4 linked regions of the Caenorhabditis elegans genome follow. The protein of the gene in region 1 interacts with the protein of each later gene in a pairwise test. Each region holds a gene or a part of one and is shown on either strand. Other genes may lie near its edges. The genes, in order: src-2, T11B7.1, C11E4.6 and tag-325.

Region 1 (7,579 bases):
GTGGGCTAGCCAGCAACCGGCTAAATGAATTTCTTTCCGGCTTTTGGGTTTTTTACCTAATATTTTGTATTTTCATAGTTCTTATTATACAATTTTCGCCAAAGATAGAAAATGTAGTTTTCCTTTTAGGTCCCCCAATTTTAGATTATACTACTACTTTGGAACATAGTTTTTAGGCCTTTTTTAAAAGATTTTTTAGCTTTGGCTGAAAAACTCCTGGAACTGGGAATTTTGGCCCAGAAAATTGTGACGTCAACACGTTCTTAACCGTGCGACAACAGTTGGCGCATTTTTTGTAGATCACACCGTTATGGGACACTCTGACACCTTGTCGGAATATTGTTAGCCTAAAAAACTTTGATCCCTAAATTTTGTTGCTCACTTTATTCGAGAGAAATTTCAGTTTAAATTCTAGGCACTGAAATTATAATAGTTCTCGATTAATACTATGAGTTCCTTTCCTGCTTTATTGTAACCTTTTAGCTTGAAATTTTACTTTAAAAACTGAATTTTCTACTCTAGAAGATTGATATATTGAAAAAGTTGTAACTCATATATTATAATTTAGTGCCAATTTTACGGTCAAATTTTTTGATTTTTATTAGCTGACAACTTTTCATATTTTTCAGGATAAAATAGATATAGTAGTAGTCCAGAAAGTTATTTTTATGGCTCCTAGAAATCCATACAACTCTTTATTGGGGCTAGATGTCAAAAAGTTGTCAACTAAAAAAATGTAGCAAATTTTATGCGTAATGTATTGTTAGTTGACAACTTTTTTATATTTATTAATCTGAAGGTGTTATAGTCGATTTAATACAGCTAGTTAGTCCTAGCTTGCCCCTGAAACCCCATAACGAAGAAATATAAGAAAATTTCGCATTAAGTATTTTATTGGTTCACAAGTTTTGTGTTATTTCTTTTTTGAAACTAGTCCAAAATTATTTTTACTTGACTGATCATCTTAAAAATTTTTGCAAGTTTTCTTGGGCCCTTTTTTTTAATCGCTTACAAAGAAATGCTCCAGGCTCCTTTAAATTGTGCAGCAGACATTTATCGCTGCATTTTTCCAAATTCCCACCTAAAGTTTCGCTAAAAATGAATTTTCTGGATTTATAAACCCTGTAGCTCCCCAGCGTGTCAAGTAGTCAGAAAGTTTTTAACTGATAAAACGAAGTAAGCTTTGAAATCTACAATTTTTTAGTTGACCACTTTTTGATATATATATATCAAAAAATAGATTGACATACCAAAAAATAGATTGGCATATCAAAAAATAAATTGGCATATCAAAAAACAAATTGGCATATCAAAAAACAAATTGGCATATATATATATATATATATTTAAACGATTCATGGCAGTTTAACGCCCACACCTATTTTGCCCTGGCTCCTGGAAACCCCTATAACTATAACTTTAATTGGTGCTAGTGTCTATCAAAATGTTGTCAACTCACAAGTTGTAGTAAATTTAATTTTTTTGATCTACAATTTGCTAATTGACAATTTTAAAACGCTATATTTTGTCCAGCGAACCCTAATGAACCAGAACTATCTAAATTTCTTCCAGAACCTCCCAAATCAAAAAACTGACGACACCAGGATCGTCCGTTCCTCCCCATGGGATCCTGTATTGGAAAAGAGGATCCACCGCCTGGTGCAACGTCACCAGTCCACACGTCATCCACGTTGGGAAGGGAGTCACTGCCAAGTCATCCACGAATTCCGTCCATCGGTCCGATTGCGGCGTCTTCCAGTGGAAATACGATTGATAAAAATCAGAATATCTCGCAATCTGCGAATTTTGTCGCTTTATTCCAATATGATGCACGGACAGATGATGATTTGAGTTTTAAGAAGGATGATGTTAGTTTTTTATTTTATTTTTTGAAACTCCATATCTCATTCTTTCAGATCCTTGAAATTCTAAATGATACCCAAGGAGACTGGTGGTTCGCCAGGCACAAGGCAACTGGACGGACTGGGTATATCCCGTCGAATTATGTTGCCAGGGAGAAAAGTATCGAGTCACAGCCGTAAGTTTTTTTTTTTTTGAATTTTTAGCCAGCCTAGGGAGAGAGGCCGGACTTGAACTTGTGACCTCCAGATTGCTGGTGGTTACCACTACCTACTGAGCTATCCAGCGCCTCTTTGTTAGTTGTCACAGGGGCTTGATCAGGTGTAACTAAAACTGTCATAACTCCTTTGGCTTGTGAGATACAAAAAAATTGTCAACTAGCACATTGTAGAGCAGAAAATTTCCTACATTTTGTTAGTTTAAACTTTTTTGATAGCTAGCACCAGTGAAGAGTTATAGCACTTTAGAGGTGTCAGCGGGGAATCAGAGCAGGCGTAGAAATGGTTCAACTCTTTAAGTGTATTTTTACCGGCAAAAGTTGTCAACTGACAAAATGTTAATTGTAAAATTTACTACATTTTCGTATTTTGAACCTTTTCAGTAACTTAATGTTTGTAGAGTTACATAGCTTTAACGAAATTTTGAAAAAAATAACATTTTTACGAAACTTAGAAAAATTCCAACTCACATTAAAACCTTAAAACTCGAATAATTTTGTAGTTCACTGGTAGTAGTACCTAAAATCAAGTACTTAATATTCCCTATATTTTGTTAGTTGGCGACTTTTTAATATTATAGCTAACACCATTAAAAAGTTATAGGGATTTCTAGAAGAAATCCGTGTAGGCCTTAAAACTATGATAACTTTTTAAAATTGATTGATATCAAAAAGTTGGCAACTAGCAAACTGTAGAACATAAAATTTGCTACAATTTAATAGTTGACAACTTTTTAATAGCTTGCTTTATTGCAGAGTTACAGGGATTCAAAAAATAAGATTTTAAAAATCCGAAAATCTAAATTTTTACAAATTTCCAGGTGGTACTTTGGAAAAATGCGGCGAATCGATGCGGAAAAATGTCTATTGCACACTTTAAATGAGCACGGAGCATTTTTAGTGAGAGATTCCGAAAGTCGACAGCATGATTTATCATTATCAGGTCAGTGAACTTTTAAGGGCGCCCCATAGGGCACATGGCGGGCGAAAACCGGTTTTCTGGGAGAGATAATCAAGGTCGGATACAACAAAATGAGAAAGGCGCGGTGACAGTAAGAGGCAGAAAAGAGGTTATCCCCGCTCGCCCCGACCTTTTATGATTCCGAAAGTAATGGGAATTTGGGAGAAAGGAGGCAAATTGGGAGATTTTGATGGGTTTAGATGGGTAATTTGGGATGGGGGAATTTAGATGGAAACTGTCAAAAATAGATGGAATATACATAGATGTTTATTTAATTTTTAAAACTTTTTTTAAAAAATTCGAAAAATCATTTTCGATTTTTTTAAAAAAATTTTATTGAATTTTTTGCCAATAATTTTCTAATTTTTTAATAAATGTTTTTTGAAAAACTGATAGATTTCATTTTTTCTGAAAGTATTACAAAAAGTTTTTATCTTTATTTTCAATTTTACAATTCTGAAAAATTATAAAAAAATATGTATTTCGTGCTTTGTAGTTTGTAGTTTGTAGTTTGTAGTGTGTAGTTTGTAGTTTGTAGTTTGTAGTTTGTAGAAAACCTTTCAAAGCTCTTTTGAGAGTTACCAAAAAACGTTTTTTTGGGAATTTTGAATTTTTCAAATTTATAATATTTCAGTATTTTTTTTTCCTTTGTAACATTCCAAAAACTGTCAAAAAAAAAACAAACTCATCAAATTCCAAGTTTTCTTAAATTTGAAGATTGTAGTTTGTAGTCCAAAATCCCCCTATTAATCCCAATTTTCTTGCAGTCCGAGAGAACGACAGCGTAAAGCACTACCGTATCCGTCAACTGGACCACGGCGGGTATTTTATCGCCCGGAGGCGCCCGTTTGCCACGTTACACGACCTGATTGCACATTACCAACGAGAAGCCGATGGTCTTTGTGTGAATCTGGGAGCTCCTTGTGCCAAGTCAGAAGCCCCACAGACAACGACATTCACATATGGTAAGCTGGAAGTTTTTATGCCTGACAGGTGCCTACATCTGCCTAGATGCCTACTAGATACCTCGGTGCCTACTACATGCCTAGATACCTTTTTCATGCCTAGATACCTACGACATGCCTAGATACCTACTACGTGCCTAGATACCTACTACATACCTAGGTAACTGCTTGATGTCTAGATGCCTACTACATGTTTAGATACCAACTATATACCTAGGTAACTTATTGATGTCTAGATGCCTACCAAATGCCTTGATGCCTACTACGTGCCTATTAACCTACTACATTCCCAGATACCTACTGCATGTCTAGATACCTACTACGTGTCTAGATGCCTACCTGATACCTAGGTGCTTACTTAATGCCTAGATTCTTACCAAATGCCTAGATACCTACTACGTGCCTAGATACCTACTACTTGCCTAGATACCTACTACATACCTTGATACCTACTACATGCTTAGATACCTACTACAAACCTAGGTAAATCCAGTAGGCAAAAGGCGAACCTAATTCAGGCCAAAGTTGACTTAAAGGTAGGCAGGCATTATTGTGCCTACCTACTAGGCCAAACAATTCCAGGGACCCACAAGGCGCCCAGTTACCTTTAAAAATGTTCAAAATTCCCATTCCAGATGACCAATGGGAAGTGGACCGCCGTTCGGTTCGTCTCATTCGACAAATTGGAGCCGGGCAGTTTGGAGAGGTAAGCATCATCATTCTCTTTCGGTTGTTTGCTTATTCACGTTGCCTGCCTGCCCGCCAGCCCCACAGCCCGCCAAATAGTGTGCACAGGCTCATCCTCCTCCTCCTCCTCCTGTTGCCTATTCCGTTCGTGTTTGATGTATATTTGTGTGTGTGTGTGTGTGTGTGTGTGTGTGTGTATAGAGAATTGATGGAGAACGAGATAAACAGGAGAAGATATGCTAATTGAGTGGGGGTAAGGAGATGATCTTAGGGGAAAATTGCAGGGGGGGGGGGGGGGGGGTGGGTCCCCGATGCACCATGTGTAGCCCCAAATTACAATTGTTAGGGTAGAGCCTGAAAAATTTTAGGTTTTTTTGTAAAAAAAACCCCAAAAAATCGCATGAGCAAGAATTTTTCTTGATATTTCTAGGCGCACGGGGTTCTGGCCTTCCTTATTGATTTTTTCGCGCTCCATTGACCTGGACAACGCGTGGGAAAATCGTGCACTCCACACGGACAACTACAACAAGTTTTAAAACTAAAATCGAGCCGCGACGCGACACGCAACGCGCCGTAATTCTACCCCAGATATGGCCGATCCAAAATGGCCTTGTTCGGCAAACTCTTCCATCTCAATTTATGAGGGGAGCCAGAAATCCGTGTAGGCGCTACTTTACACTCAAAATAAAAAAAAACTGCGTGGCGTGTACTGCAGAAAACCTAATATTTAGGCCCCGCCTTTCTCTCGTCCACTTACGGAGAAACGGCAAAAATTTTGACCCCAACCAATATCAGGCCGCCAACATCTCACGGGTTCCGCGCGTCGCTGCGTTTAACTCGCAGCGGGCGGAGACAGCTCGTCACGCCCACAGCAAGTTAAACGCAGCGGCGCGCGAAACCCGTGAGATGTCGGCGGCCTGATATTGGTTAGGGTCAATATTTTTGCCTTTTCTCCGTGAGCGGACGAGAAAAAGGCGGGGCCTAAATATTAGTTTTTTATTTTGAGTGTAACTCCCAGAAACCTCTCAGCCTATGGACTAAAAAACTTCAGGCTTTTATTTTTCCGTGTTTTTCTTAATCCAGGGGCTTTTAGTGTAGATCCTAAAACAACCGGATAAAACGGTTTCCCCTTTTTCTATTGACTTTTCCATCTCCTGATCCGAGCAGCTACAGCCGCCAATATTGAAACAGATAGGACCGGTTTGAAACATGATATCACTCCCCTACAAACATCAGTTCCGCTAGGAGATCTCATAAAACGAAGGGATCTGGAACATAGAGATTTACCACTAGGGTTATAAGGAAATGTCGATGCACCATGAGTAAAAACTCAACCTCGAATATAGATAGCAAGGCCCTAAAATGAATGACAAATGTTCTCATTAGAGCGCACTTAAATTTGCAAGCATGAACGAAAATATGAGTTTTGTAAGAAATTTAATCTATGAAGCTTCAAAACCATGCGAAAAATGGCTAAACATACGAAAATTCTTACTACAGCTTACTAAAGTGTGTGTTTGAACTTTGAACTTTTTACCTAACCCCGCCCCCCCCCCCCTTATGCTTGCATGTTTAAGTGCGCTCTAGTGAGAACATTTGTCATTTTTTAATTAGAGCGCACTTGCAAATCAGCTTGCAGATCCTGGATGTACTACATAAACCATCAATTTCCAGGTATGGGAAGGCCGATGGAATGTGAACGTCCCCGTCGCTGTGAAAAAGCTAAAGGCCGGAACCGCAGATCCTACGGATTTCCTAGCCGAGGCACAGATTATGAAGAAGCTCCGGCATCCGAAGCTTCTGTCCCTGTATGCAGTCTGCACACGTGATGAGCCGATTCTTATAGTCACCGAGCTAATGCAGGAGAATCTGCTCACATTCTTACAGCGACGAGGTCGGCAGTGTCAGATGCCTCAGCTGGTGGAGATCTCGGCGCAGGTGAGGTTCACGTTCGGATTCCTCGAAATTAAAAAAAAATTTCAAAAAAAGTTTTGCAGGTTGCCGCTGGAATGGCCTACCTAGAGGAGATGAATTTCATCCATCGAGACCTAGCAGCACGAAACATCCTTATCAACAACTCCCTATCTGTAAAAATCGCAGATTTCGGGTTAGCCAGGATATTGATGAAGGAGAACGAGTACGAAGCAAGAACCGGAGCACGGTTTCCGATAAAATGGACGGCGCCCGAGGCGGCGAACTATAATCGATTCACAACCAAGTCGGATGTCTGGAGTTTTGGAATCCTGCTCACCGAGATTGTCACGTTCGGACGGTTACCCTATCCAGGTGAGGATTTGAACCGACCCGTTTGATCTACACGAATTGCGGAAATTTAGGCGCAGACTTTTCAACTGATTTCGCATGGTTAAGAGTGTGCTGACGTCACCATTTTCTGGGAGAAAAATTCCCGCATTTTTTGTAGATCAAGCCGCAATGAGACAGCCTGACACAACGTAAGATGGTCTCATTGCCGCATGACCTCCAGAAGTGGCGGGAATTTGAATTAAAAATTTTGACGTCATATGAGCTTTTTTGAAAACTAACATCCCGCCTTTTATTGAGGTCAAATTATTTTTTTTACAAAATGGTACCAGTTCGCTAATTATAAAAATTAAGTCCCTTATTGAAGGGGCCTTGAAAATTTCGCAAAACTTTGGGAATAGGTCGCGTCAACTAAAATGTGGAATATTCCTGCGCCCTTCGCCGTTTGATCTCCGGGAATCGCGGAAAATTCAAATTTTGAAAAATGCGATGTAGCCTAAGTTTTACTGTAGAACGTGGTGTCAGAGTGTCCCATTTCGGTTTGATCTACGTAGATCTACAAAAAATGCGCGGAGTTGAGACGCAGAGTTCTAAAGTGATTTTTAGAACGAAAAACTCCCGCATTTT
Region 2 (4,357 bases), on another chromosome or scaffold:
CAAAAATCAAATTGCTTTCAAAGATCTAATGAACAGAAATGTAAACTTTGGCTTGTCAAAAGTCAAAAATTTAGGGCATGTTCATCATCTTCCAGCGCCTTCGGTCAACCTAACAACATTTATGATTGTCTAAAAAATCGATAGCATGGAAAAATGACACCCTCGAGGAACATAAATAAGATAATTGTATCATTAGACGCAGAATAATCTCAAAATGATCCAGACTTTACGAACAGAATAAGAAATCTGATATACCCATCGTCTCAACAATCTTCTATCCATTCCAAGCCATGACAAATTTGAAGCGGCAACAGTGAAAAGTGGCCCACCGCTGGCTAATACGTACGGTTTTATAGCGGGCAAACTGAAGGCCGTCTTAGGTCCATTACCGGCTGTTGGACCGTCATTTGTCCACAGGTTGAGAAAGACTTTCAACCTGTTCGGGCTCGTCCGCAGCTGTTATAATTGTGACATTTTTTATACATAAGTTTGTCTTTGGTTCTTGGAAGGACTTATTGGAAGATTTTATTTCAGAAACAAGAACAGTTGGAACAGTGTAAAGTTAATCAGAATAATCAAGAAAATTTGAAAACAAAGAGAAAGTCGGATAAATGGGAAATCATGATATATCGTAGAGCGAATAACAAGAAAATCGTTGATTTGTGAATAGTTAAAATTTTTTAAAATATTAGTCATTGTAAGAAGGTACATTTAATTTCAATGAAATCTCAATTTTCTGATTCGATGCTATTCCTCTGACGAGCTGTCACCATCTGGTAAATCATCAGAAGCGCTGCTTTCAGAACTTTCATCTGATGAGCCTTCTTCCTCTTGAACTTCTTTTAAAGCTTCTAATTCTTTGAACGCATTCTTCAAATTTCCTCGAGAATTTCTGAGACGTTTTCCAAAATTTCTGACAGTCTTCGCCAAATCCTCAGAAATTTCGTTTTTCGGAATGAAATTCTTTTTCAATTCCATCATCTGCTCGTATTGATGTTCAAGCTTTAATTCTAGAGCATCCTTATCTTCAAGAGCATTTTCGTATGACCAACCAAGATTAGCGATTCTGTAATAATTTTTATGTGTTTTTAAGATCAACAAAATATAAATGTTTCGTCAAAACTTACCTTTTTTTCTGATCGTTAATTTGTCTTTGGAACCACTGAATCTCTTGATCTTTCTTATCGTGCACTTCAAGACTTTCCAAAATCAAACGACACTCCTCTTTATGCAACTGCAGCATCTTACATTCTGGTTCAAGTTTTTGATCGTCTGAAAACTTTTGAAGAATTTCAATAAGTCCCTGCAATGTTGGAGTTGGTGAACGATTCTCTGTTTTGTTTCCAGCTGTGAGCTCTCCAATTTTCGCTGTTTGATTATCAAGATAGTTTTTCAATGTATCGTTTTTTCTGAGCAGTTTCTTGTTTTCTTGAGCAGCCCTGAGCAGTCTGGAAAAAGTAATTACGAAACATAAAATGTTTGTTCTTACACTGCCAAACAGATTACTATATCTCGATGGCAGTGCATGTTATGTTTTCGGTCGACTATACAGATAAACATAGTTACCTTGATTCATAGAGCTCTTGTGTCTTCTTTATATCCATTTTAAGAATTTCAATTTCCTTAGCTTTTTTCGAATTCATTTCAAAATTTCCAACAGCTGACTGTAGTCCTTCACAAGTTAACTGAATATTTTTCAGTTTCTGATCAATACTTAGTTCTTCTTTGAATTGTTTCAACTGTTCGGTGAGCTCATCCAATGTTAGAGGATTCACATTTTTTGAATTCTCGTGATTTTGAATACTTTTCAAGTTTTGAAGTTTTTTGAATTTTTCAATTTGAACTTCAAAATCATTTTGCAAGTCAGCATAGTTGTCTTGCAAATTGGAACATTCATTCTCGAGTGTATAGATTTTTACAGAAAGTGCCTGTCTCATATCATCATACTTAAGCTTCTGACGGCTGAGTGTTGAATCTAACTTCTGGATTCTGAAACAAGTTTAATCTTACAAAAATTACGAAAAAACAGTATACTTACGTTTCCAAATGTTCATCCTGTTTTTCATTGAACTTTTTTTCCAAATCCTTGTAGTTTTTATCTTTTAATTGAATACTTTCAAGCTGTTCTTTAATCATTTGCAAATGAGGAATGGAAAAATTAATAGTTTTACTTTGTTTCTCAACTTGGACATAGCTTATGGTATCATGAAGAATATCAATTATTCCTTGAACTGTAGGCTTAGACGCTGAAATTTAATATACATTCACGAGGAAAAGTATTCAGAGGACTGCGTGACTATCGATGTTTCAGATTTTCAGACGGGATACATAAAACGCAAGTAGAAAAACCCGCATGACGTCACACTTTTTCTTTCATTCTCCGTAATTTTCCAGGAACAAATTGCGAATGGAACCTATCATACACGCGTGCGCGAGGCGATGTGACAGCTTCGATTAATTATACAAAAAAAAACGTCAGAAATAATATCATTCCTGTTATGAAACACTGTGATTTCAAAAATGTTTACCTTCCAATTGTCTTGTTTGCGGTGCTTGACTTTCTCCTTTTGAAACACTTGGTTTGATTCCTGACATTACTCTCTGAAAATCCAAAATCCTTGCACTAAAACAGATTTAAAAAAAAGAAGTTAAATGAAACCGTATTCATATCTTATAATATCATAACTACAATCATTTCCATACAATTCGTGCATTATAAACAAGAAAACAAATGAAAACCCTTCAAAAAACTCGATTAGCTACCGATATCAAGGCACTTTGGATGTAAAAAATAATAAATTAATCAGTCATCTCTTGACGATGACGTATGGGCAAGTCATCTGGATGAAAACTATAAAACAGAACGCTCATGTATATTATCGACTCGAAAAGAAGGTTTCCAAAAATTATCGATTCAATTTAGGTTTAGCAGATCTACGAATATACATTAAAAAATACTTGAGGAAAAGTTACTTAATTAGGGATCCTACAGAACTGACAGACCTAGAATAAAAGTAAAAAAGATTAAAAACGAGAAGAGGGAGGGAGAAAACACCGAATGCAAATGAATGGTATGTTGGAGATTTGTAGTGTTGGAAGAAACAGTGAACCACACTCTCCACGGGCAACGTACAGGGGTCATCTCATCTATTTGTTACGACGTCGAAGAGGCTCGCCACTCTGTAAGTAATATTGATTACTTGGTTTTGTGTATCGCATCCGATATCGGCCGAATGTACAATGAGATTTTTTTTCGAAATACCACTATTTTAGATGTCGCCATAAAAAATGTTTGAAGGTAACATAGATAACATTTTCAGAAGAATTTAAGTTTGAAAACGTGATCAATTAGGTTTTGGGCATCTGGAAATCATATGAAAAGCTAAATTTATACCTGTCGTACGACGACATCAAACGCTGATCCAGTTGATTGTAGTGGTACTGCCACGGATTCTGGCACAAACGAAGACGCGGTTGAGATTCGTGACGACGTTGACATTCTGGATGATGGGCGGGATGAGAGAGCTGGTACATTCGATGACATTGGCACTCGTGGAGAAGTTCGACGAGCCGCCGCTGAGAAGGTTTTTAGTTTCAAGTGAAGTTCTTCAATTGTCTTGGTCTGCTCGGCAATTTGATGACGATACTCCGCGATAAGACCTTCACGATCAGAAATCGTCAGATTTTGAACTCGCATATCCTGTTGAGCATTTGCAAGTTGTTGTCTGAAATAATATTAATATAAATCTATATTTAATTTTCTGATTGTGTGTTACTTTATTTTTTCGATTTTCACATGTCCGGAACATGCTATCAAATACTTTAGTTTAAAATAAAATTTCGTTCTATACACCAATTCATTTAAACGTTAAAAAGATTTAACTCACCTCAGCTTGACTAGCTCGACGTTTGATGTCTTCTGCTGTTGATCTTCTTCAGCAGGATTCTGAAGTTGTGCTTCCAGTTCTGCAATTTTTGCTGTCAGAACTTCGCATTTCTCACGATACTTGTCCATTTGAACGGCGAACTCGTCAGCGTGATCCAATAATCGAGCTTCCGAATCCTTAAGCAATCCATTCTGCTCCGAAACAATGCGAAGTTCTTCTTTTAACTGTTCCAACTCTTCCAGAGACTTCAGATCAGCCGATTCGGATGCCTCGATAAGCTGTTGCCGTAGATTAGAGACAAGATTTTGAAGTTTCACAATAGTATCATTCCTATTTGAAATCTCGATTTCCAATGCCTTCTTTACTTCTTCAATTTCATTTTCATTTTTGTTCCACGCATCATCATCATTCCATCCTGAAGCCGAATTTTCAGCCTCGACTAGCTTCTGTTTGGTATCTTCCAGTTCTGA
Region 3 (7,953 bases), on another chromosome or scaffold:
TTGCTGACTGTTATGCCGGCATCGTACCATTGTTCCTTCGATTGGCAGAGACTTGTCCATTCTGCTTCTGAGCTCAAACATCATTCCGATTGTGGTGATGATTTCTGCGGCAATTCCCTAGAAATATGAACTTTTCTAAGGCATTATTTGTGCGAAATACCGAGGTCAGCACACAGAAAGTGTGACAAAAGAAACGATTTTCAGTGTCCCTTGCAACAAAGCAGAAGAAGTTGAGATCCTTTCTATCCTGACATACGACTCTTATTGTATAGACACCATAGCCGTCAAGTAGAGTCTAAAAAATCATTGAGATTAATCGGGGGGCAAGTTTGTCAACGCTTCGGATTTTCTAATCAAATTAATATTGCGGGTGGTCTTTTGTGGCCTACAGCTGATATCCGATTGCGGCGAATTTCCTAGACTAGTCAAAAAACGTCTCAACCTCTAACGTCTGCTGAGAAAATACAATTGATAAAATTGATAAACACAAACAAAATATGAATTCTCGGTTCGAGAAATATGATGTTCTATTTCTAAAATCCAATTTCCGAAATACCATACGATTAAAATATCTTTGTGTTTTTTTCACATCGTATAAGTATATTTCATAAGTAATCAGATTTTATGAAATACTTTCACGTCATAACTTTCCTGCAACGAATGCAGGTGTATCAGTCGTTAAATTATTGTTTCCCGACCCCCTTATTCTTTAACCGCTTCTCAGTTCTGCTGAACTTTTACAATTTGTCAATTCCATTAGGTGATAATTTAATCATTACCTTAAAAGTTTCATCGAAGATAGTGATTCCATTGCAAGTCAAATCCAAAGTAACCCGTGGAATAGTCTCCCAGTCAATTATCGACTCTTTGATTCTTGTCATAGCTGCATGAGCTTCATCAGAGCATTCGGTTTCTCCAATTTCCAGAACACCGAGGTGGTGTGCACGATACACCACGTTGCCCTGCAGCAACTTGTTCTTGATCTTGTCAAAATCGCCTTGTGGGCATTCAGCACAGTTGTTTCTGAAACTTGTTGAATGTTTGTTCTTTTGAAAATTATTTCTCATTAAAAACTTACTGTTTTGACCTTGGCGGCAGAGGAGGAGGTGACATTAATGGCTTAATCTGTAGTCGATTATTGTACTCTTTTCTTTTTTCGTCTTCTGCTTTTTTGAACGAATGGAGCATTCTAGCAATGTGACCAGGACGAGTAACACCGAGTTGCTGAAATTAAAAATATGCAACAATTATCACAGGTCTATGGATATTTTTTGATTAATAAACGCGAAATCAGTGATAAAAAGTATCTTAAAATCACAAAAGTTGTTATTTGAACAAATTTACTCACCATCAATCTTGCCGTGTCCCAGTCAATTTCTGTCAATTTTGCCATATGCTTGTATCCTGCACCGACAAAGTTGGAAATGTAATCTTGAAGTCCGATGAAGTTGAGCCATTCACTAACATAGAAGAAACGTCCTGGAATTGAAAAGTGATTTGAAAAATTGATGAAGGTTTCTTAAAATGTTCCGGCAGAGTAAATGTGTTTTATGAATGTGTTTTATGTTTCAAAAAAAAACCAACCAGCACTAGCAACATCATCCTTCAATTTCTCAATCTCTGACATTATCTTGAACTTGGTGACGTCATCTACTCCGATTTCCGTAAGGATACTTCTATTTATTATCCCTTTTAGTTGATCCATTCTATCATATCCATGAGTTTGAAGAAGTGCTCCAACTGAATCAGCCGCTACTGGGGCTAACATAACATCACTTTCCAACCACTCAATTATTGTTTTTGGTTGCTGAAACATGAACAACCGGTGTAAAACGTGACATGAATGGAAGTTGAAACAAAAATGTAACTAAAAGTACCTTTTTTACAAGAAGCGACTTGTGATCTCTGAACTCATCCTCGACAAGTGTTACGCTCAACGCTTTCGACCCACGATCACGTAAGTAAACTGCCACACGTGGCTCGTATTCACGAACAAAAACACTTTCACGACATGGAGCTGCACCAAACGAATCGAATACACTTTCCACCTGTTATACAAAAAATTAACAAAGTTTCACTGACACTTTTTTCAAATTTGAAATTATAGAATTGACATTTAAATCGTTTTTTGTTGTTTAATGCTGATAATCCAAAAACGCACAAACGTTTAGGCGCTGCCGTTATTTTTTACTGCGTTTTATTCCCGCTACCCAGCTTTGCAAATACACAAAAAAGACTGACCTATTACAGTTTTTCTGGCTCTGTATTTCAAATACACCGTAAGAATTAAGCCCGCACAGCGAGTGCAGGTTTTTATCATTAAAAAAAACTTCTGATCTGTTTTTCTTTACATTAACAATAGCTGACTATTGAGAAACTGTTGAGAAACATAAAATCCGTGTGCTTTTTGCAGATACGCCATTGTTACGAAAAAATAAACAAAAATTGGTTTGTCCCCTGATCGACTTACCCTATCCCAACTAGGTTCTTCACTGGTCGTGTCTGATTTCTGGTCTGATGAGGGGGACGACAAATTATCTGTGGGTGAAAGTGAATTCAGCATAAGGTTCGTTGTTCCATTTTGACGGCGGATTCGGACAGGCTCTTCCGGCTCAGTGAAACTGCTATTCATCTGCACCTTCGACGTTGATTCAGTGCTTCTGTGGCTCAAATTTGACGATGACGAGAATCCAGAGAAGAAATCAACATTTGTAGAGTCAACCAGCCGAGATTTTCCACATAACGCGTCAAAGATGAATGCTTTAGAGGTGTTTGGGGAAGGTGGGCTCTCGGCAGAGTTTGATGATGGTCTCATCACGTCTTCTAAAAAAATTGCAGTCACATTGTTGTCTTTCTCATAATTCCCATTTAGATGTTGATTCGCATTTCCTTGGCTGTAAATGACACTGCCTGTCACTGAACCTGTTATTTCTTCTGGCATTGCCAATGGTGCACGGCCGTTATCACGTTCGCGTTCCCGGAAGAACTTATCTGAAATTGCATTTATTTAGATTGACTTCAGGACTCCATAAGTTTAGGAAATGATTTTTTCCTTGTCATTGACCAAAGTTTTTTTTCAGAGTTAACAAGATACCGAGCATGAGATCAGTGTTGGAAGATTCGTTTTCTCATAATCTACCCGAACTTATCAACTCGTACATCATATGCTAGAAATTTTTTAGGTTGTCGTATGCCCCTAAATCATTCCATTTTTGCTTAAAATGCCTACCTTTGTCAAGTGTCGAGCACGCGTATGTCAAGGATGATGTTATGCTGCTTGCTCTGGTGTCCAGTCTTGGACTTTGCGTCAATCCCAGCGATTCTTCACGATCACACGTAGTTCGGGAAATAGAAAACTCTTAAAAGTCTTTATTTTATATTAATTAGAGTCGTTTCCTATACTTACGGTTCCGATTCAATGACCTATCCATTGTTTTGTCTGGGTCTTGAATAAAGGCGTCATTCAGGTCAGGACGACCATGATCTGGAATTCTTGGAGAGTAGGTGGCAAGTTTTGGAAGTGTTGCGTATCCGGATTGTCTACGGAGTGATGCAGATCTTGCTATTGGTGAGTTGGGGCGGACGAATATTGCAGAGTTGTTCGGAACGTTGTCATATGGTGCTGGCGGACGATTGCTAATGGTCAGTTGACTCTTTTGCCATTCATTGAATTTTGAAGGAGAGTTGTATGCACAATTATCTCCCGGGAGTACAGAAGCTGAAAATAAAGTCAATCCGTAAACTCAGAATATCGATAATAGATTACCTATTTGCTTTTCTGTTGGCCTCGTTCTAACATTTTTCAGCCTCGTTGGCAATGTATCGCTGGATCTTTGACACGAATAATGCTTTGAGTGATAACTAGGCGATGTCAACGGGAACCTTCCAGTTCTTGGAGCTCTGTCTAACATGGAACTGTTCCATGTACGATTGATAGAGTGTGTGGTGTAAGGCCCCTCTGATCGAACACTGTTCAAAGCTTCTGTAGAGTCGTCGGGGGATAAATCTCGCAGTCTTGCAGAAATAGAAGGTGGCTGGTAGATGGAATGATTGTTTCTTCGTTGATCCGGGTATACTTGAACTGAAATCGTGAATAACTTTATTTATCATTCAGATTTTGAACTTTGAGCTTAACTCGATTGATAACCGAAATGTTCCTTACAATGCACATATTATTAGTTTTAAAAATAACCCACCGCTTGCTTGACTTGGAAGTGGTTGCCAAATTGCTTCTCTTTCATTGTCACTTTGACTTCCTTCGGTTTCTCTTCCAGAGTCTCTTCTATCCATTCCTTCGATAATTGTTCTACATTCCTTCCATCCTTCCGGATTTTTTACAAAATGGGCGATTTCATTCCTTCGGTTCTCCTGGAGATCGATGATCATTTGGAGCACTGTTTGTCCGTGTTGATTTTTGATATCAGTGTTCACGCCAATTTCCAGCAGAAACCTGACTGCCTCGGCCTGTCCACAAGCAGAAGCCACATGTAGAGCTGTCCCATCTTCCGTAGTGTAGTTAATGGAGAAACCATGTTCACGAAGAGCCTGAAATTAAACATTTAGTACATTTTTCATTTAAGTGAAACAGTAAATTATTTGATTGGGTTTGTTTAACTAAAAAAATCTACAGAACATATGAGTCTTATAAACCTATGATTAAACTACAAAAATACAAATAATAAATAGTAGTGTTTCAAAATATTTACTACAGAAAATATAGTTTTTTTTGTTGGAAAACCGCAAACACCGTGACGCATAAGTGCACAGTCAAAAAAATATCTGTTGAGTGTTTATATTTCAAACTAAACGTTTTTTGGGATGAGTTATGAAAATGAAATCATAAGCATGTTACTATCGAATCTATTTCGAATTTCAAATTTGTAAACATTGTACAAACTTGCAGATTCATATGAAACACGCCTATCAGAAAATTAACCCCGTTTTTTTGCTATTCTCAAATTGCTACCAACATTCACGCAAGGAGTAAACTATTCTGCATCACCCTTACTCTTATACTCAATTCTTGAATAATGAATAGCAAAGTGGAAAAAGCAACTCACTTGCATGCACTCAACGTGATTATACTTTGCTGCAAGGTGAAATGGGTATATGGCCGGAAAGGGCCGTTTTATGTCCGGTGTTCCAACTCGAAGAGACTCATATGCTGACTGCACAGGAAACTTTGGCCATTTTTGGCACAACATTCTGATGGCTTCAGCAGATCCAATGCGTGATGCAACGTCAATCACATTTTCCTTGTTTTCATTACGAATGAAGGGGTCGGCATTTTTCTGAAATTTAAGGAAATTGAAACGATACGTGATTTTTCAAGCTAACAATTGTTAAATCTGTCAACAATTTAATCTCTATACAAGAATCAAACGTCAAACGCATTGCAAAATTGAATAACTTATTATAGATATGAATGTTGTTCCTGTTCACAGTCGAATAGTTTTAATTCTCAAAGTTATCTTTGCTTACCTTTATCAAATAGAACACAACTTCAAGATGACATCTCTGAACTGCAAGATGAAGTGGAGTTTCATTGAAAATGTTCACTGCATTCAGAATATCTGCGGGCTTTTCCATTGTTTGTAAAAGAAGCATTTTCACAATCTCCAAGTTCCCATTCCAGGCGGCCAAGTGAATTGGTAAAATATTTTTTGTACTTTTACACAGTAAAAGAAGTGGTTCGTAGTCCATAAGGAGTTTACTGATTTGATTTTGATTCTCGAGAACCGCATGATGGAGTAAGGTGAAGTCAGATTTTTCATCTTTGTAGTCGGCGAGCCAATGACTGTCTGATCGCGTTGTGAAAAATCTGAAAAATATCAATAGTTTATTTGAAAATTAGAAAATAAGTATTACTTCAGCCCGCTTCGAATCTTTTTGCCCTTTTTCGAGCTGAGAAACAACGCAACTTTATCATATTCTCCTTTTTTACAAGCATCGATTACTTCGGTTTTTGATATGACAAAGTCTTTGAGGCTCATTTCATCTGAGCTCCTGTAAAATGATCGATTCAGAATTTAATTTAGGACAAAAGAGAAAGCAGATGTTCATGTCAAAAAACAAAAAGAAAAGTAGGAAACAAAAAAGACGGATAGAATATAGGAGAAAGAACAGATTTTGTGAACACATATAGTTTTTTGTCTTAATCTTGTTTACTTTCTCTTTTTGAGATGTAGTTGTATTTTGCTACTCAAGGGGTCCACAAGAAGTAGTAATGCATAAAAAGATAGGAAATGCGAAATATGTAGAAAAAGGGAGTGTTGTAGATGAAAAGCAAGGGGGTCCCCGGGTTTCCTCCCGCGCGAAGAATGCCTCGTAATGTATTGCATTTTACTCGCTTTTCACCAAAATCTCGACAAGAGTGGTGAAAGCAGGGTGATGGGAATAGGAAGGGCGCAATGTGGATGGCCGGTCACTCACAACTCCACAAAACTACACATTCTTTTCTCCTCTTCTTCTTTGCAATTTTTGTCGGTCTAGGAGTGCATTGGATGCAACAACAACAACAAAGAATATAACTACAGCTAATACTACTAATGGTCAATGTAGGAAAAAAAAGTTTAATAGTAGCTTATGGAAAATTGAGTTCGAGTTGTAGTCATCAAGGATATTCTTAGGTGAAAAATTATAGTGAAGATTTTCCTCATATTATCAGCTCTTTGCGAGTTTACATCTAAAATGTACCACTAGAACAAGATACCTTTTATAAACTGCAATGGCTCTCACGAAAAGTTGTCGGATATGTTCTTAAAAAATGATAATTATAGTTTTAACGAATTTCGTGTCAATTCTTCAACAAAAAAACATAGCGTCCAACAATTTAACTGAATTACAAAAAATAAAAATAAAACATGATGGTGACAAAACACTTTTCCAAATTTGCCAGCTGAATTAATATGAATTCCATTTAGAAAATTATTACTTAATAGCTATAGTCAATATGGCAACATTTTTCAAGGTGATTTTAACCGATTTTTCCTAATTTAAATAATTCAGCTGTTTTACATGTTAGAATCCTTAACTTCGCTGAATAAACTTTATATTCATATGTACTATGATCAGTGATGGGTGCACATTACATTTAACTTCTGACTAAGAAAAAATTTTTTGAACAAAAACCAACTCTATGCATCTGAGAAGGTTCTCCTCGAATAATCAGATAAATTCAATTAGAACTAGTGAGCACATGCGGAGGAGGCTGTGCACTTTTCAAAATAGCCTCAAACAACAAAAACATAATAGCACAGGATACACGGTCGATGCTTAAATTGAAGTTAATAATCGTTGACTTAAACATATACGACAAAAAAGATAATGACATGCTGCAAATCGAGAGGAAAAGAAAAAGAGATAAAAGCACTTATGAAGTGCAGTAAAGGGAAGATAAAGGGTGGAAATTGAGAGGAGAAGGTGGAAGGAAGGAAGAATGATAAACCCGTGCTGTTAAGTTGTAATAAGTGTTTCCAACGTGTTGCATATGTAGGTGAATAATAAACACATATCACTTCAAACATCTAAAATTGCGTTGAGGATTTAGTTTCCAATGTGATTTAAAAAAAAAATTGATTATTTCTGCTCACTTTCTACAGAAAAATTGTCCTTATGTTAATCAAAATAAAAATTAGACAAGTAAAAATTGAAAACCACAAATGTATGAAAAATGTTATCAAAAAAACTATAGTGAGGCGGTTCAGATATGCGATTTCGTAGTTTTCCAAATATTTTATATTAAATCCCCAAGTTCGAAGTTTTAAAAACTGAGATTTTTCAAAAAACTTTTGGAACTGTTTCGTTGTTCACACCGCACATTAAAAAATCTTTGGCTTACAATTTCAACCGTACACCATATATTAAATAATATATTTATTTAAAAATATTTTTAACTTAATTAACTCCCACGAAAAGTTTTGGTTATATCATTTGCATTTTTAAAAAAGAGTG
Region 4 (7,552 bases), on another chromosome or scaffold:
AAGAATAAAGCGTAAAAGGAGAAGACTGTAATAAGTAAACGGATGAAAAAAAAAGACTAGCATACTGAAAATGTGTTGAGGAAAATGAATATTACAGTACATATTTACAACATTAATTGATCAAATCCCGAAAGTCAAGGAAAAAAAAGTAGAAAGAAAATAAGAGAAAACGATAAAAGTAATACCCATTTTTCGGCGATAAAACACCCAAAGTGAAACGGTGAGAAATAAGGTCACAACTCTTTTGGAAAATTTGAAAAATCTATAGATTATCGTCCAATATTGACTGGAGCTTTGAGAATATCAAATTTGTTGGCCGATTCGAGAAGATATTGAACAATTTGGGATTGCATAATCATTGAGAAGGCGAGATGAGAATTCGATTGGACAGGAGTTGCTTGAGTTTCTTCCTGGAAATTATAAGTATTTTAAACAAGGAATATCAGTTGGTTTTTGAGTTTTGACTCAATTTTCAATAACTTAAATTACAAATAATTTGGTGAATATAGAAAATGAACGGTAATGACCAATTATAACTGTAAAAAATTTCAAAATTTGTTTAATGATATGTTATATCAATTTTTTAAAGATTTTTCACTCCATTCTCAATAAATGAAGTTTTACAAACCTTTTTCGAAGGTTTCGCCTTCTTTCCAGCTTTCTTATTTTTGGTTGCCAAATTCACGGCTCCATCACCATTATGGAATAGTGTTGGACCAAAAACAATAGCAAGATTATGTTGTTGCATTCGATTTTGTGATGAATGCGAGGCTACACGATTCAAATGACGAAGTAACATTTTCAATGTTTCACGATTCTCGTTTGGAAGTCGACTTAGAAGTTCTTCGAATTTTTTGAAACGAGTGGTCGCGTTGGGCATTTCTGGAATAGAAAATTGGTTTAGGACATTTTAAAACTTCAAAAAAAAAACTTACGCATAGCTGATGTGTATTCCTTATGAAGAGAAATTGGGAAAAGTGGATCGGTTAGCTCTCGGAAAAAGAGTTTAAGAGCACCAGTAAGAACATGAATATCTTCTTCAGACACAAGAGCTTTATAATTGTCTTGATCAGCTTGACATCGAATTTTTTGGACTGCGGACAGGTTTCCACTCACTCTGAAATAAGAAATTTCAAGTTTCAATGCTATTTTTATTTGGTAGTCATCCTTTAAAAAACTGAAAATACAGTTAGAGAATACTCTCGTAACAGTTCAAATTTTTTAAAGATATTCCAAAACTATAATTTTTAAAGTGTGCCTTTAAAAAATACAGTAATTTTGATGTTGATTTTTCATAATTTTTTTGAATACAAATAAATAAATTTTAATCGAAAAACCGCAGCAACTGTGAGTTGGAAATTACAGTACTTTTTAAAGGCACACAATCATTTAAATTTTAAAAAATCGTGTCGAGACCGGGAAAAGTTTTTTCAACGCAAACAGTTCGCATCTGGGTAATGTTTTTCGGAAAAAATTATTAGGTCTACCCCTTTTGATAGTAAATAAATTTTTAGATGTGTTTTGTTATGGCATTTGGTCATTTTTTCACAAAATGGCGACACTTCATGTAATTTTTTTCCAATTTCATAAACTAACCGATAAATTCCATCTGTCTCCAATCCTTTACTCTCAATAACTTCAGTGATAACTCTAATAAACTTCGGTACCAACGAGTTTTCATGTTGACAGATTGCAGAAAGAGTTGATCCGAATACTGGTTCAGCTGAAATGATTCTTATTTCAATATCAATTTACTATATATAAAGCGCGTGTCGTTCCGTCACTATGTAGTTTGATTTTTGACAGAGCAACGGAAATTTGGGAAACCTTATGATAATTGTATTTTCTCAAAAAAAAAAGTCGGGGGCCGCGCCGTAGGTGCGGTCCACGGCTGGTTTGCATATATTTCCAATCTTACGTTTATATATTCCCTTCTCTTTAAGACTTTCCACTGTAGGGCGTGTTCGGAAGAATCTTCTCAACTTCTCAATGATCGTCTCTTTTGATGGTCTTGGTTCATCAGTTGATACACTTGTCGATACCGTTTCAATTGCAGATTGTGACATTGGATCATCACGTCGTCGCATACTTCGGCTTCTTAAAAAACAAAACATTTTCAATAAGACATGGTTCTCTCAGAATTTTGAATTCAATTTTTTTTTTTTTGAAAAAAAAACTCACATTGGAATTAATGCATGGGAAAGTGGACGCGTGCTGCCAATGTATGACGGATTACGAGCAACGCCATTTGTTACATCAATCATCGGTTGGTTTGAAGAGCCAGGAGACGGCTGAAACGATATACATAGTCTTGAAATCTATAATCGGATGCAAAAAACAGTATACGGTCTCGACGCGATCGAATAGGTTTAAATGAAAAAAGTTGTGCGCCTTTAAGAAGTACAATAGTCCATTTTTCTCGTTTTTCTCAAAAAACCTTTTATTGTGTGAAATTGTATGCACAATTAAAAAAAAAAAGATAAGTCGAAGAAAATTGAAAAACAGCAAGATTTATTTAATTTTCCTAGATAGATTTTTTATAATTTCAATATTTTTTGATTAGTGTCACAAAAAAAAAAGGAAAAAAAGGTTTTAGACGAAAAGGCAGGAAAATGGTAAAATAGCGGGACTACTGTAATTATCAAAGGCGCACACACTGTTTCATTTCAGCATTTTCGGTCGTGTTGAGACCGGGTTAGATATTTTTCAAGCGAAAATCCAGCTTAATAGGATTTTCAGAATTTTCTCCCATGAATCACCTCACTATTTGACCGTTGCAGGCTCAACATTCGGACTCTGGAGCAAGCAGTATGCCACATGGTACTTTTTTGAGAATACACAACAAGTAAAAACTTTGCAATAATAGACGGAGAAAAACTTCGGCCGTGAATTCTTATTTCTACAGTCTTGAGAAAGTTGGAAACAACTTGGCAAAGTAGCTTATAGCCGAATAATCTCTTAATTGTACCTGCCAAGGGCGGGAGAAAAAGAAAAATGAAACAAAAACACTTGATTTTTTTTGTCTATTTTCTGGATAATTTTCAAATAAAGAAATCTTACAAGCTTTGCGACAACTTCTTCCAGTGACTTGTACCATTCGACGGCTTCCGTGTCATTGGGACCTCGTAACAGGTATTTCTTCGTGTTACACAGCTCTAATTGAATATATTTCCGTTGTTTCTTCTTTTGTACATCCCGATTGTCTTGATACCATGTCACACTTGCTCCTCGTAAATCCCATACTCCTTGTGGAGCATCATAATGTTTTCCGTGTTTCTGAAAGTTGACAACTATTTGGTATTGGTTGATCTACTGACAAGGAAAGGAAATAAATATATACAAAATATGGCACTTCAATTTGAAACATTATGTTTAGGCTGAGCTGATATATATGTATATAAATATTTAAGCTGCAAAAACTCCACTCGAACCATCTGAACTTTATCAACAAACTTTTCAACTACTTTTATGATCAGTCGAGTTGTTCCAAAAGTGGATTTTTGCAAACTTCGGATCATTTTTAAGCTGTTTAGAGATAAGCAAACATTTCGGAAGCTTTTTGAAATTTTTAGTTTCTGAAGAAGAGTGCAATTTTTTGACCGAGGTGGATGAAACATTTTCAGATCATTTTCAGAAAAACTTCCAAAAAGCAGACAATAATACATCATCTCTGCACATTTTGTTAAAATTTCTTAAATCTTTTTTTCTGCGTTAATTATCAACAACATAAAAAAAACTACCTCTGCACTTTTTTGGTCTTTATACAAAATGAGATGAGCCGTTGTTAAATACATGTAGTTCGTGATCCATTCACGTTTTTTTGGCTTTACAACTTTCTCTGCTGGTTCATCATTTTCACTTCTTTCCAAATCACCGCATCGAATCGTTCGAACAGGTTCACGTCCATCACCACTACCTCGACGTTCTTCACATCGTGATGATGGTGTAAAATCGGCAGAATCTTCCATAAGGATCGGCCGATCCGGCGTATTAGAGTGATATTGCGGATGGTGATCGAAACTTGATGAGGTTGTCGGCAGCACTTGTGGCATTGGAACATTTTTTAGAACTGTACATTTGTTCTGAAATGAGACCGATCTTAGGTTCGTCGGAGATGGACGACGGACACGGATTGCGGTGGGAGTTTTTGATGTTTCATTGGCATCTGGGGGAATCACATACGAAGCCAATTTGTCAGTGTCTTCATTTTTGGCCCTAAAAATGTAACTTTAGTGATAGGATATAACATTATTGAATTTAGGGGTAGCGTCGATGGGAATTTCACTCAAAAATACTCAGGTTGATCTCAAATGCCGATAACTTTTTTTGCATCTGTAGTTCTCAATACTGCCGCAAGTTCTTCATTTTCCTTGAATTTTCAAGTGAAAAGGAAGGTTTTATGCCTATAATGGCAGTTACGTTTCGCCTAAAATATTATTTTTGTCTGAACCAGTCGAGAAAATCGAAGTGAAAAACGGAAAAATTAGCGGAGTTTCGAGGCGCGGTAATTCAAATGAGGCACAACTGAAAATTCACTAAAGTTAGCCATGTTTCAAACTTAATGATTTTTTTTTCGTTTTGCTCCACTATTACAAATTTTGTAAAACCAACCTTGGAAACGTTGATTGAAACGAAGAAACATGTGCATAGGGATGTGGCATCATTACTCCGGATGCTGTAGAAGCTTTTCTTGATGATGTTGGAACAGGTTCTTCGTCAAAATCGGAATCTGAAGCTATGGATCCTTCTATAGGTTTCACATCATCTTCATCTTCATCATCCGTAAAACTGTCAGAGAATGGAATTGGAAGAGGCCGTGATTGAAGATCAATTACAGGTGATGATTGTTCATCCACGTCATCGCAAACTTCATCAAACACTTCTTCATCTTCTATCAATTGACTTTTTCTGTCGTCATCAGCTAAAGATTCACGCATTTTGTTCTCTTTTTGTTCTTCTGATGAAGATGTCGAGGATCCTTGAAAACTGCATGTAGTATCTAGATTCGTTCTTGTTGCACGAAGAAATTCCTGAAAATTGAAAACTGAATGAAATTATAACATCTTACCAGATTTTAATTTTTTAAAAGTAAAAAATAATACCTGAACTTGTGCGGGTGTTCTGATAAACCTCGGTGGAATCCATTGACTTTTTCCAGTTTCTTTATTGAAGAAAAATGTCCGTCCGACGTCGGTCTCGTATTCAAACCAACCATTTAGAAGATCTCTACGGGGCTGCGCGTCGGCTCGCGGAGTCGGTGGAACCGGTCGGCTGAAGCTTTTAAAAATGTTTTATGATGATTTTAGAATCAAAAATGAAAATTAAATAATCATCAGTGATTAAAAAAATGCTCCAGGTGTTGTTCCAACATTTTTTCATAAATATTAGTGAGAAAATATGGAAAAATAATAGATATAATTGAAAATAAGAATTCAATTTGACGAAAGAATTTGAAAAAGTGCTTAAACATAGTCTGAAATTGTCATTTACCAATTATCGAACTTAATTTTTCAGAGATTGGCAAGTTTCAAACCATTTTTGACCTCTTTTTCAAATGCTTCACCCACGATTTGCACACTAATTCCAATTTTTCAAAACATTATAACTAAACCTGAATCATTTCAGATATTTCCCGTACCTGTTTAATTCTTCGATTTCTCTGATATTTGTATACACATGTGATGGATCGTCAGCGTAATTCTGTCCATTACTTTCACGTGGCAATGTGTTCGCGGCGCTAACATTCGTTTGACTAGATGACGAAGAGGATTCGGCCGATTCGGACATCTGTAATGAATAAAATTATTTTTCTCGCGTTCGATGAGAGAGAAAAACTAACAATTTCTTGGAACTGAATAAGATCCGAAGCTCTTGATCCAGCGGGTCCTCCGCCGAATCCAGTTGTATCTGACGGCTGAACAGCGGTGGTCATCATCCGACGAACAAAATCGATAATAAATCACTTTTAACACCACCGGAGAGGCATTGAAGAGAATGATAACGAACTGCAAAAAGGACGAATTGCTAAAATATTCGGAGAGGGAGAGCATGGTAAGGAGAGGAAAAGAAGAGAAAGATCATGTGACCATTGACTTTGTTTTTACAGTGTTTATAGAACAAAACCGAAATATTTAATAAAGCAGATTGATCCGGAAATGGGAAAACAAAAATTATAATTAGGTTGTTAAGATAATTAAATAATGTTCGAAAAGAGAAGAAGACAACAATTAAGTATTCTAAATATCTAAGAAACTTGATACATTTCTTTCCACTTGAATCGATTCTCTCGAATTTCCGTGACTTTCTGAACATTTCGTAACTTTATACCCATAAGAATATCTTACGAAATATTTTTAAAATGAAACATATTTTAATCAACCAACGGAATTGATAAGCAAAATTTCCGATTTTTTGTTTCATTTCAGCTGTCCAATTTCAAAATTAGCTGAAATTATTTATAAATCAGTTTTAATTTAAAATTTTGTACAATTCCAACAGAAAAGCACCAAAAAAACCATCACAAGGAGGCACACACGGGATGACTCATCCGGCCGTCGTATTTCCCTTGTCCCGACTGGAGAAAAGAGAACACAGAATGGAAGAGTAAGATACGCAGACAGTGATACAGAAAAAACTCGCCGTGTGTTCTCTCACTCATTCGGGAGGTTAGAGACAGTGTCTTGGGGCTAAATATTGGAGATACAGACACACGAACAGACGACAATCGATTTAAAGAAATACAGTCATTGTACAAACCTGATAGTGCCGTGACTAGAGGTATTTACTGGTTTAGCTAGTGAAAAGGCTCTTTTTAGACTTCAAAAATTTGTTTTAATAAATAGTTTCATTATTTCAACATATTTTACTAAATAATGTGCCAAATTGAAAAACTATTCACTAGACAGCATAGAAATATAATATTCTCTTAAAAATCAATATTGGAGAACATTTTTGGATAAGAATTCTTTTACCCTTAAGGGTCAATCTTATATAGCGCGTCGTTATCCAGAGCACTTTTTGTCTCTATGTTTTACACCGTTCGTTGATGTTATCTCATCTTCAAAACGAATTTCCTGCAGTTTCTTAGTCTCTATAGTGCCACGTTTTGCGTGCGCGTAGAATAATAAATTCATGTTTTATGGGTCTGTCTGTGTGCACAAGCCGACCGCCCCAGTTTTCCCCCATATTCGAACATCGTTTGATGCCAATCTTGACATGGCAGAGAAATAGGAAACTGAATGCATTGGGGAAGAGAAAAAGAGAAACTGCATTTCGCTTTCAATTATTTGAGTGGCCCGTCGGAAGAGCTCTCACAGCTACTCTACAATTTTGCATCTAAAGGGGTCACGCTATTTAAGCTAACAAATATTTTTTCATGTTTCAGAACACATTTTTCTTAATTATGCGAAACAAGAATAGAATGCACCGGAAAAAAAATTTATAGTAAAATTCGTGAATGACTCGCATCCAAAATATAAAAAAAACAATGTTACTATTAAAACTAATTAAAAAATAATTTTACAAAAACACATAAACAGGATATTTTAAAGCA

The links.
Region 2: the proteins of src-2 (region 1) and T11B7.1 interact in a two-hybrid assay, tested with the Caenorhabditis elegans proteins (one large-scale study listed by BioGRID).
Region 3: the proteins of src-2 (region 1) and C11E4.6 interact in a two-hybrid assay, tested with the Caenorhabditis elegans proteins (one large-scale study listed by BioGRID).
Region 4: the proteins of src-2 (region 1) and tag-325 interact in a two-hybrid assay, tested with the Caenorhabditis elegans proteins (one large-scale study listed by BioGRID).

The regions. Positions count from the first base shown.
Region 1 is NC_003279.8:14,320,665-14,328,243, forward strand, and holds the start of src-2 (Tyrosine protein-kinase src-2), read left to right. Parts: upstream 1-1,572; 5' UTR 1,573-1,622; coding exon 1,623-1,868; intron 1,869-1,916; coding exon 1,917-2,038; intron 2,039-2,898; coding exon 2,899-3,020; intron 3,021-3,805; coding exon 3,806-4,003; intron 4,004-4,638; coding exon 4,639-4,709; intron 4,710-6,364; coding exon 6,365-6,628; intron 6,629-6,687; coding exon 6,688-6,976; intron 6,977-7,579. UniProt on the Caenorhabditis elegans protein: Non-receptor tyrosine-protein kinase which may play a role in larval and pharynx development. Unlike src-1, does not play a role in embryonic development.
Region 2 is NC_003282.8:8,838,963-8,843,319, reverse strand, and holds T11B7.1 (Centrosomal protein of 162 kDa), read right to left. Parts: upstream 2,604-4,357; 5' UTR 2,596-2,603; coding exon 2,529-2,595; intron 2,247-2,528; coding exon 2,039-2,246; intron 1,990-2,038; coding exon 1,567-1,989; intron 1,449-1,566; coding exon 1,128-1,448; intron 1,067-1,127; coding exon 748-1,066; 3' UTR 515-747; downstream 1-514. Other genes in the region: T28C6.11 (uncharacterized protein), read left to right, coding at 3,059-3,182, 3,437-3,657; T28C6.7 (Kinesin motor domain-containing protein), read right to left, coding at 3,148-3,180, 3,395-3,725, 3,888-4,357.
Region 3 is NC_003284.9:9,608,616-9,616,568, reverse strand, and holds the start of C11E4.6 (ANK_REP_REGION domain-containing protein), read right to left. Parts: upstream 6,007-7,953; 5' UTR 5,994-6,006; coding exon 5,869-5,993; intron 5,822-5,868; coding exon 5,482-5,821; intron 5,292-5,481; coding exon 5,061-5,291; intron 4,546-5,060; coding exon 4,197-4,545; intron 4,082-4,196; coding exon 3,767-4,081; intron 3,719-3,766; coding exon 3,407-3,718; intron 3,359-3,406; coding exon 3,230-3,358; intron 2,992-3,229; coding exon 2,471-2,991; intron 2,049-2,470; coding exon 1,878-2,048; intron 1,808-1,877; coding exon 1,585-1,807; intron 1,480-1,584; coding exon 1,349-1,479; intron 1,225-1,348; coding exon 1,079-1,224; intron 1,024-1,078; coding exon 780-1,023; intron 296-779; coding exon 161-295; intron 118-160; coding exon 1-117.
Region 4 is NC_003281.10:4,795,294-4,802,845, reverse strand, and holds the start of tag-325 (WW domain-containing protein tag-325), read right to left. Parts: upstream 6,008-7,552; 5' UTR 5,936-6,007; coding exon 5,840-5,935; intron 5,788-5,839; coding exon 5,639-5,787; intron 5,278-5,638; coding exon 5,103-5,277; intron 5,031-5,102; coding exon 4,612-5,030; intron 4,216-4,611; coding exon 3,741-4,215; intron 3,277-3,740; coding exon 3,061-3,276; intron 2,292-3,060; coding exon 2,182-2,291; intron 2,098-2,181; coding exon 1,919-2,097; intron 1,724-1,918; coding exon 1,597-1,723; intron 1,118-1,596; coding exon 936-1,117; intron 883-935; coding exon 629-882; intron 411-628; coding exon 270-410; 3' UTR 1-269.